Linked DNA regions of Xenopus tropicalis. The protein of the gene in region 2 purifies or fractionates together with the protein of the main gene of each other region. This does not show direct contact. Links are inferred from orthologs where the notes say so. Each region holds a gene or a part of one and is shown on either strand. Other genes may lie near its edges. The genes, in order: pkmyt1 and cks2.

The links.
Region 1: the proteins of cks2 (region 2) and pkmyt1 purify together in Homo sapiens (affinity purification with mass spectrometry; 3 studies listed by BioGRID and IntAct, counting the BioPlex papers as one, with this or other methods). This does not show direct contact. The link is inferred for Xenopus tropicalis from reciprocal best matches to the Homo sapiens genes CKS2 and PKMYT1.

The regions. Positions count from the first base shown.
Region 1 is NC_030685.2:12,696,434-12,700,804, forward strand, and holds the start of pkmyt1 (membrane-associated tyrosine- and threonine-specific cdc2-inhibitory kinase), read right to left. Parts: upstream 2,943-4,371; 5' UTR 2,912-2,942; intron 2,199-2,911; coding exon of another isoform or gene 2,133-2,198; coding exon 1,776-2,132; intron 1,365-1,775; coding exon 868-1,364; intron 464-867; coding exon 357-463; intron 1-356. UniProt on the Homo sapiens protein: Acts as a negative regulator of entry into mitosis (G2 to M transition) by phosphorylation of the CDK1 kinase specifically when CDK1 is complexed to cyclins. Mediates phosphorylation of CDK1 predominantly on 'Thr-14'. Also involved in Golgi fragmentation.
Region 2 is NC_030677.2:137,845,064-137,849,397, reverse strand, and holds the start of cks2 (cyclin-dependent kinases regulatory subunit 2), read right to left. Parts: upstream 3,062-4,334; 5' UTR 3,034-3,061; coding exon 2,975-3,033; intron 776-2,974; coding exon 648-775; intron 130-647; coding exon 77-129; 3' UTR 1-76. UniProt on the Homo sapiens protein: Binds to the catalytic subunit of the cyclin dependent kinases and is essential for their biological function.

The DNA.
Region 1 (4,371 bases), on a different chromosome or scaffold from region 2:
TCGAGCAGATATCGATCGGGCAGGGTAAAAAATTTAGTCGGATCGGGGACCGCATCAGCTCGTTGATGTGGTCCCCGTACCGACTGCACCCTTTACCATCGTTGTACTGTAATTTGACCGAATTAGCCTAAATTCGCCTGATATCACCCACCCGTAGGTGGGGATATCGGGAGAAGATCTGCTCGCTTGGCGAGGTTAAAGTGTATGGCCACCTTAAGACATTATGTGCGTAAGATTCTTTCAGACCAAGCCAACAGTACCTATACGGCTACTGCCACACAGGGCAATGACAATGAGGAAAATTAAGGTTTTCTACAATTACCCCCCCCCCCCCCAATACCTTCATAAATCCTCACCTGATGTGAACTCTGTAGGGAGACGCCCTTGTCTTAGCTGCTGCCAGCCGTCTCCACTTTTTGGAAGCTCCATATTGCAAGCGACCTCTAGAAGACTCATTCCAAGGCTAAGTGATAAAAGGAATAGAAAATAATACATGGAACTTTAAGTGCATTTTCAATTTCAATTTGCAAAATGTCAGCACGGTGCGAAATACTTTCTGGTGTGCTGGAAAAATTATTATCTCCCAGTGGTCCCAACTACAGAATACCCGCTGGATGTCAAACGTGAGGTTATAATACTAAGTAAGTAGTAATCATTTATTCATAACCTGTGTGTAGCAAGTTCATTCCTCATCTCCCACCCCAAGACAAGCATACGCCTCGTACTAGCAAAGGTGATAAATTTACTAAACAGGCAGCACAGAGAGAGTTCCGTATCTGCAGCACTCCAGTAATTGTTACAAGGCCCAGCAGCATATCCAGAAGCCTTCTAGCTAATTTTTAGCTCCAGCTCCAAGATCATTCTCACCTGAACACATCAGCGGCCTTCGAAAAGATCCCATCCAAGAGTTCAGGTGCCATGTATCGAGGGTCACCTTCCTGCGCTTCTCCACTTCCTTCGGTTCCATCTAATTCTACCATGAGTCCAAAGTCACCCAGTTTGCAAACACCAGAAAATGAAATGAAGACGTTAGCTGGTTTAATGTCAAGGTGCAGAAGGTTGCGATCATGAAGATGTTTGAGACCGTGCAACAGGTCACAAGTTATGTTCCATATTTTACGTGGAGGGAGGGGCCCAGAAAATTCTTCCGAGTGCTGTTGCAGACTCCCTGCACATAACTCCGTCTGCAGGTAGAGCAATCGTTTCTCTTCCCATGCTCGCACAAAACGCAGGCAGTTGGGGTGCACCCCGACTCTCTCATGCTTCCTCACCTCCTGAAGCTTCCGTTGGCGGTCTGACTCGCCACGGAAAGGAGAAACTGAGCGCTTCACGGCATAGAAGCATCCATCCTCAAGGCTTTGCACCTAAAGAGAAGCATCGAGTACACATTAAGGCAATATTCTAAACTGATATCTGAACGAATTTGTGATATGATTAGAAGTTATATGTAAAGCGATTCAAAAAACATGGTAAGATCATTTATATGCACCATGGGGAAAATAATTAGGGTTGCACCGAATGTGGTTCGGGCCAAAACAAGGCTTTTTTTTTTTTTAAGGATTCAGTTTCGGCTGAATCCACGGTCCTGGCTGAACTGAATTCCTTGCTAATTAGGATTTGGATTCGGTTTAGGATTCGGCAGAATCCGTCAGGGTGGTTTCGGCCGAACCCAAAAAAGTGGCTTCGTAGCATCCCTAAAAATAATCATATAAACAATGATGCAACTTTATTAAAAATATCATTCAGGATATAAAAGTTTCTCAAAACGTTCTCACCTTGTATACCTCGCCAAAGGATCCTCGGCCTAATTTGCAAATGCTTCTAAAACACTGCTTGAAAAAGGTCTCTCCTTTGCTCTGGTCATAGAGCTCGCTTGCAGGGGGATTGTTCTGGGGACTTCGGAAAGAAACACTTTGTGGCCTAGGCTGGCTCCAAGACCGCTGTTTGTTCGGGAATAGGCGGCTAATAGGCAGAGCGCTCTTAACTGGAGGTCTGGGTGGCAGGGTATAGCAAAGGGAGCGCCCTCTTTTTTTAAGTGAAAAGCTTTGCTCTGCCTGACTGAAGTGAGCAGGCACAGGGATAGGGGTGCGAGTAAGGGGAGTATCTCCCATGTCATCTCCTGGAACAGGCATAATGAGCAGGCACGTTAAAGGTGAATGTAAGGGCGGTCCTTGTTCGCTCTTCGGAGATACAGGAGACTGTGGGCAAAAAAAAAATGACTTTCAATTAATTATACAAATGAGAAAATTTTTTTTTTATAATCCAGAAGAACAGCACCTACAGTAACTAACTCAGGGGTGGGTGAATACTAGTTCACTATATAAGTGGGTGTTGGTCCCGTCTGTTTAAAGGTAAAGTAAAATTGGCATATTTATATATCATGCAAATTGTTGTGCTTCAGGTTTCAGTTTTTGGTTGATCTAATTGTTAGGTCTCCGAGACTAAAAGGTGGCCATACACGGATCTTCTCCCGATATCCCCACCTTAGGGTGGGCGATATCTGGCAAATTTAGGCTAATTTGGTCGTTTGACCCTGGTGCCAAACAATCTAATTATAAAGACGGTAATGGGCGCAGTCGGTGGGGACTGCATCAACTAGCCGATGCAGATCCCGATCCGACTAAATTCTTTAACCTGTCGGATTGATATCTGGCCGATTTCAGGCCAGAAGTTGGTTGGGCAGGCCCGTCTTTGCTGACCCTACACGGGCCGATAAGCTGCCGAATCGGCAGCTACAATCAGCCAGTGTATGGCCACTTTAAATGTTTATTTGGCCAATTCTTTAAAAACACAATATGCATACAAAAATGTAACTCAAGGCACTATATCGAGCAAGGTTCCTCTCAGTTTTTGGATCAGTTTGTTAGGCAGTCGTGGTCAACATTAAGTTTGAATTCCCACTTGCTCTTACCCTACTGATGTTGTGTCACTGTGGAACGCTAAGTCAGTCTTCACCCTCTTGTGACCTGGACAGCTGGTGATAATTCCTGGAACCCGAAATACACGACAGCTACAACATGCCTTCTACTACGGAGTTGCTTATAAGGGGTATTTCTGTAGGGGAGGCTTTACATAAAGAGCAGTTGTGGAACGTGTAATGTCTGGCGCATGGGATTACCAAAGTAAATGTTATAGTAAGTTTTACTGTATGAGAAACCCAGTTCAACAACCACCATATCCTTGGCAGTCTCTTTCTGAAATAATATAATAAAATGAATCCTGTCTTCCTCACAGCAATGTGTTAATCTGTCTGTCTCCTGGCACAACCTTTCCCTAAACTATAAACACAATGAATGAATCCAGTATATGTTGCTATCTATACCAGACTCATCAATAGTAATTTTTGTGACTGTTTCTTCGCAGGAACTCACACTCTCGCTTCTGAGCTTGCCCGTCACTTTAAAGTTCTACTGCTTAGTTTCTCTACAAGCCTATCTTCTGTACTGATCATGGCCTGTCACTAACATTTTATTTACACATTCTGCATATTTGCTTGTTATATGAGCCAAATGTCATGCTGTTTGACTGTCACTTTCTTTTTATAATAGGAAGTGTCTCTTTATTTACCAGTTTGTCTCACAGTGTCCCTTGAAATGTTTACAAAGGAAGGGTAATACTTTGCCAGTCATGTCTCTGGTCAGGCCATATGGCCATTTCAGCATTCATTTTAGAAACCTTCTTTCAGCCAGTCCTGTTTATGCATATAAGATGTTTTTGCCAACAGTGGCTCTTCCAAGGCTGTCTCTCTGTGACAGCGGCACTTCCAAGGCTGTCTCTCTGTGACAGCGGCACTTCCAAGGCTGTCTCTCTGTGACAGCGGCACTTCCAAGGCTGTCTCTCTGTGACAGCGGCACTTCCAAGGCTGTCTCTCTGTGACAGCGGCACTTCCAAGGCTGTCTCTCTGTGACAGCGGCACTTCCAAGGCTGTCTCTCTGTGACAGCGGCACTTCCAAGGCTGTCTCTCTGTGACAGCGGCACTTCCAAGGCTGTCTCTCTGTGACAGCGGCACTTCCAAGGCTGTCTCTCTGTGACAGACTCTCTTCCAAGGCTGTCTCTCTGTGACAGACTCTCTTCCAAGGCTGTCTCTCTGACAGATGCTCTTCCAAGGCTGTCTCTCTGACAGATGCTCTTCCAAGGCTGTCTCTCTGGCAGAAGCTCTTCCAAGGCTGTCTCTCTGACAGACTCTCTTCCAAGGCTGTCTCTCTGGCAGAAGCTCTTCCAAGTCTGTCTCTCTTACAGACTCTCTTCCAAGGCTGTCTCTCTGGCAGAAGCTCTTCCAAGGCTGTCTCTCTGACAGACTCTCTTCCAAGGCTGTCTCTCTGGCAGAAGCTCTTCCAAGGCTGTCTCTCTGACAGACTCTCTTCCAAGGCT
Region 2 (4,334 bases):
TGACCAAGAGTCTTTGTATTCACTGAATACTACAATATGTACATATTGTCCCAAAAGAATAAACACAAATCATTTTTCATTTCTGTTGCTCTTTTGGAAGGGGTCTTCTAAAAAGTAGAATGTGCGGCTCTGTAAAAACAAAAACAATGCACTTGTTAACAAAGTCAAGGGTGCATTTATACATCAAATGAGTTCTTGATTCTTTTCTACACAGAGAGTGGCTAACACAACTACAGTAGTTGAAGTACTACACATAGACTGCAAAATACACAATATTGATAATTGTCTGTTTTAGCAAAGACAGTTCTTAGTATTATCTACGACAGGGTATTTTCTGGCGTTTTGTAGCCATGTGTCACAGCCCTAATACAGGTTGTATCCTGCATCCAGATCCTTGCTATCTGAAGAGAGGCTCCCCTGCCACTGCAGGCAGAAAAGCCTCCCCTCATCCGAAGTGAGGGATCTGTTAGCCCCACCTCAAGTGGGAAGCAATTCTGAACAGATATGATCCCTTTAAGGGGGGGGGGGGGGGGGGGGGGGAGACAGTGGCAATTTATTTTTTACCACAATTACAGATAAATTGCCCCTGTAGTGTATCTGAACAAGAATTAAGAATGGAACTGGAATTATTTTAAAAGCAGTCTTACCAGGTTCATGTATCATATAATGGACCCATCCAAGGCTTTGCTGGACACCAAGCCTTCGCCACTCTTCTTCAGACATTAAATGAGTTTTTGGGACTTGCTTGGCCAACTCCTTAGGTAACATAACATGCCTGTTTTAAAAACGAAATACATTTAGCCACAGGTAAAAAAAAATTAGTAAAAATGCAAACACTGGTGACCCAAAAACACTACTCTAAATTGGCGTTTACATCTAAATCAGGCAGTTACTACAAAGCACTGAAAAATATACTTGTTTGGTGATCTAACATTTTGGCACCCCCGGTGAAATAGATTTTACATGTGATGGCAAAGATCACCAAAGTCTATTCCACTGGGGGGTGAGTGCCCTGCCTGCATCCCCTTACATTTGTTACTTATTACTTTCACTAGGCGTTTGTCAATGTACTATGAATATCGAATGGCTCATGGTTTAGGCATGTGCAGGTACATACATACTATTTCTAAATGTATGGGGATTGGATATCAACATCTCTTTTCTCCCTTTCCTACTAATAAACCAATGTTACATTAAAACCTATTTCAGTTTCAGTGGTTTATAATAAATGCAGGATATAGTTTAGTAAAATGGCAAATATTTTGTGTTGTGAGCAGTGTTAGATATCAGTCACAAATTGCTTTTAACTTGCAAAAGATTTGACCATATCAAGGTGACCTCCCCAAATGATTATATCTTTGTTGCTGTATGGCCAGCTTAACATAAACACCTTTAGAGAAGAATGCTCAAGCTCCCATGTTATGTGGGAGTAATACTGGCCCATGCTTACCCATAAAAAGCATTAAAACTGTTACTGCTGCAAAAGTGGCTTAACAAGGTATTCAAAGTTTGCATACATAATTAATCCCCAAACAGAATAACATTTTTTACCCACTGAAGTAACACATTTCAAACAATTGTTTTTGCAAGAAAGATAAGTAACAATAATAAAACTGTTGTCAAACAGGGCAATAGTTTGGAAATAAAGATAGAAAGAGGCAAAAAAGAAACCAATTAAAAAGTTGGAAAAATAAACTACAACATACTAAACGTTAATTGGAAAATGGGACTGTGGGGATTAAATGTGGTTAAGCATCACTATCCCTTTAAGTCTGCTTACACTACATATTTTGTCCATATATCTAAACAGTGGAAATAATGTGCAAATGTTGTGTGGCCCCATAAGACAACTAAATGCCAATTGAAATCTTGTAAGACCACATCAGGCCATCAACGGACACAAAAGCACAGGCCAAACTTCCAAGTAACCTAACCAATCAGCCTGTGAGATGTCCAGAGGGCTACATGATGAGTCCAGGGTATAAGACACTGGGGTCCTGGTAATGGATATAAAATGAACAAGGCCCGCTGCCTAGGTTCTTTTTTAACTGGTACAGATACCATGAATACAGACTAGCAGATATTCTCCTGTAGTACACATAAGGGTATGATGGTTGAGTAATGCCATGCAGTGAAACTTCTATGGCATGTTAGGGTGAAGACACACAGAGCTACTAGTAGCAGCTACAAAAACCGAATGCCGATTATTTACTGATAACTCTACATGTGTTTAAGCAGAACAATTCTCCGTATTGTCTATGGCAGGAGAATTTCTGAAGTTTAGTAGCCATGAAAAAGTAGCTGCTACTAAGTAGCTCTGTGTGTCTTCACCCTTAAGCCTAGTCACCTTTCTGTGAAAAACTCTAATCCAAACATTGCTTCTATGATCCAAAAGTCAGTGGCCACTTTAAGACTTTGATCTCTTGGTACAACTTCCAGCACATACTCTCTAGCAGGCAAACACTGGGCTGAAATTACACCTGAAAACATCACATCTTAAATCATGTTGAAATATTTACAGCAGAATGCTACAGTCTTTCACACAGAAACAAGTGGCTCTTAACTAGAACCCCATGTTAGGCACGAATAGGTGGCATTATAGCCCACAGATACATAAAAACATTAGAATGTATTAATGAGCGCTGACATTGTGCAGCACTTTGCAGAGATGATAGCAATCTTCTTGCCCCAGTGCCGCACACATGGCCAGATCCCTACACATGAATACACACTATGATTTACTTCATTCGGCTCCAATTACCCTCCATGTATAGCTAAACTCCAATGCCCCGTACAGCTGGCTGTAAAGCAAAATTAGGCATCCCACACTACTCCACAGCTGCTGCAGAATTAATGCCAGCAAAAATGGCGCAGTTTCTTTTTACGTTTCAGCCAACGCTGGCCCAGGCTTAGCACAAACCCATGCAGGACCGCATGAGGAGACTTCCTGTCACAAATCCCACCGAAGTTTTACCTGTACTCGTAGTTCTCATCCGAGTACTTGTCCGAGTAGTAAATGTTTTTGAATGACATGTTCCTGTTAGTAGCGGCTATGCCGCGGACAAGTTCGCTCTCCTATCCCCCACTACAGGCGGGTAAAGGTGACGCTTTACTGAATCGGTTGCTCCCTCTAACCGCCACTAGTTAGCAAGTCGCGCTTTGAATTGTGCTGCGCTTACAGATAATTGGCTACGACAAGTTCCGCTCTTGTCCAATCAGAAGAACGTTTTTAATCTTCTGCGCGCGCATCATAAAATGAACCAATCAAAGGCCAGTTGCTGGGCTTCCAAAGGGCTTTAGCCAAGACGTGCGGCGTCTACGACACTAGGGCGGAGCTAAATTCGCATAAATTAGATTGGCCGTAGTCACCATTTTGGTTAAGGGAAAATGTAGCCTAGTACAGGTGATAACGTAGCTGTAGAATGCTTATTAAACTTTCTACGCAAATTTTAATGCAATGATAAAGTAAATGAAAAAAATCAATTCTAACATATATGGGTCTTTCTTACGTTTAACAGGTTTTGCATACATATTTATTATTGCCAGGGAGACTTGAATTTTAGAGTTTTGTTGCTCAGAAAGCACAAATATTTTGCCCATGCTTGCCGCAGTTTCTAAAAAATGAAATAAAGGCTTCTCTTTATTTTTATCTTATCTCCCTATTAATAAGATTAGAGCAAGGCCATAAAACACCATTTTTACCTGCGTGACTGGTAAAATACCAGCCCAGTGGCAACTCAAAAAGCTGGTTCTGTAAGGGAAATAAATAGTTGTACAAACAGTTTCACTGATCAGATTAGTAAAGCAAGAAAACATGCGGTCACTGTGTTATCTCATGACTGAACCTGGTGTAACATATTTTAATATCAGGATGCACAGAATGTCTTCTGACTATTACTGTGCAGGAGACAATTATTTTGTATAATATATTCGTTTATATCAGCTATGATGGGGTTGTTAGTGTGTGGGCCCCGAACACAAATAAACAAATGCTCACAATAGGTAGTTTATCAAAAAGAGAAAAACAAGTTTGACCATCTGATAGTCCCCCTTTGGATTTTGTAAAGAGAAACTGGCTGACCTAGAATTGCATGAACTCCAGCTCACACATGATTGTGGATATAACTGCAATATGCACCAGCTAGTATGGATGGCCAGCATTATTAACGCTAAAGATGGTACTTGGTTACATCTTGGGTCATGCTTACCAGTCAGGTCCAAGCAAAGATCTTTTGATTTTTATGGAACATTTTTCACACTATGCAAAGCATTAGTGACCAGCTTATCCCCTGGAGATAAGGGTTGCCACCTGGCCGGTATTTTACCGGCCTGGC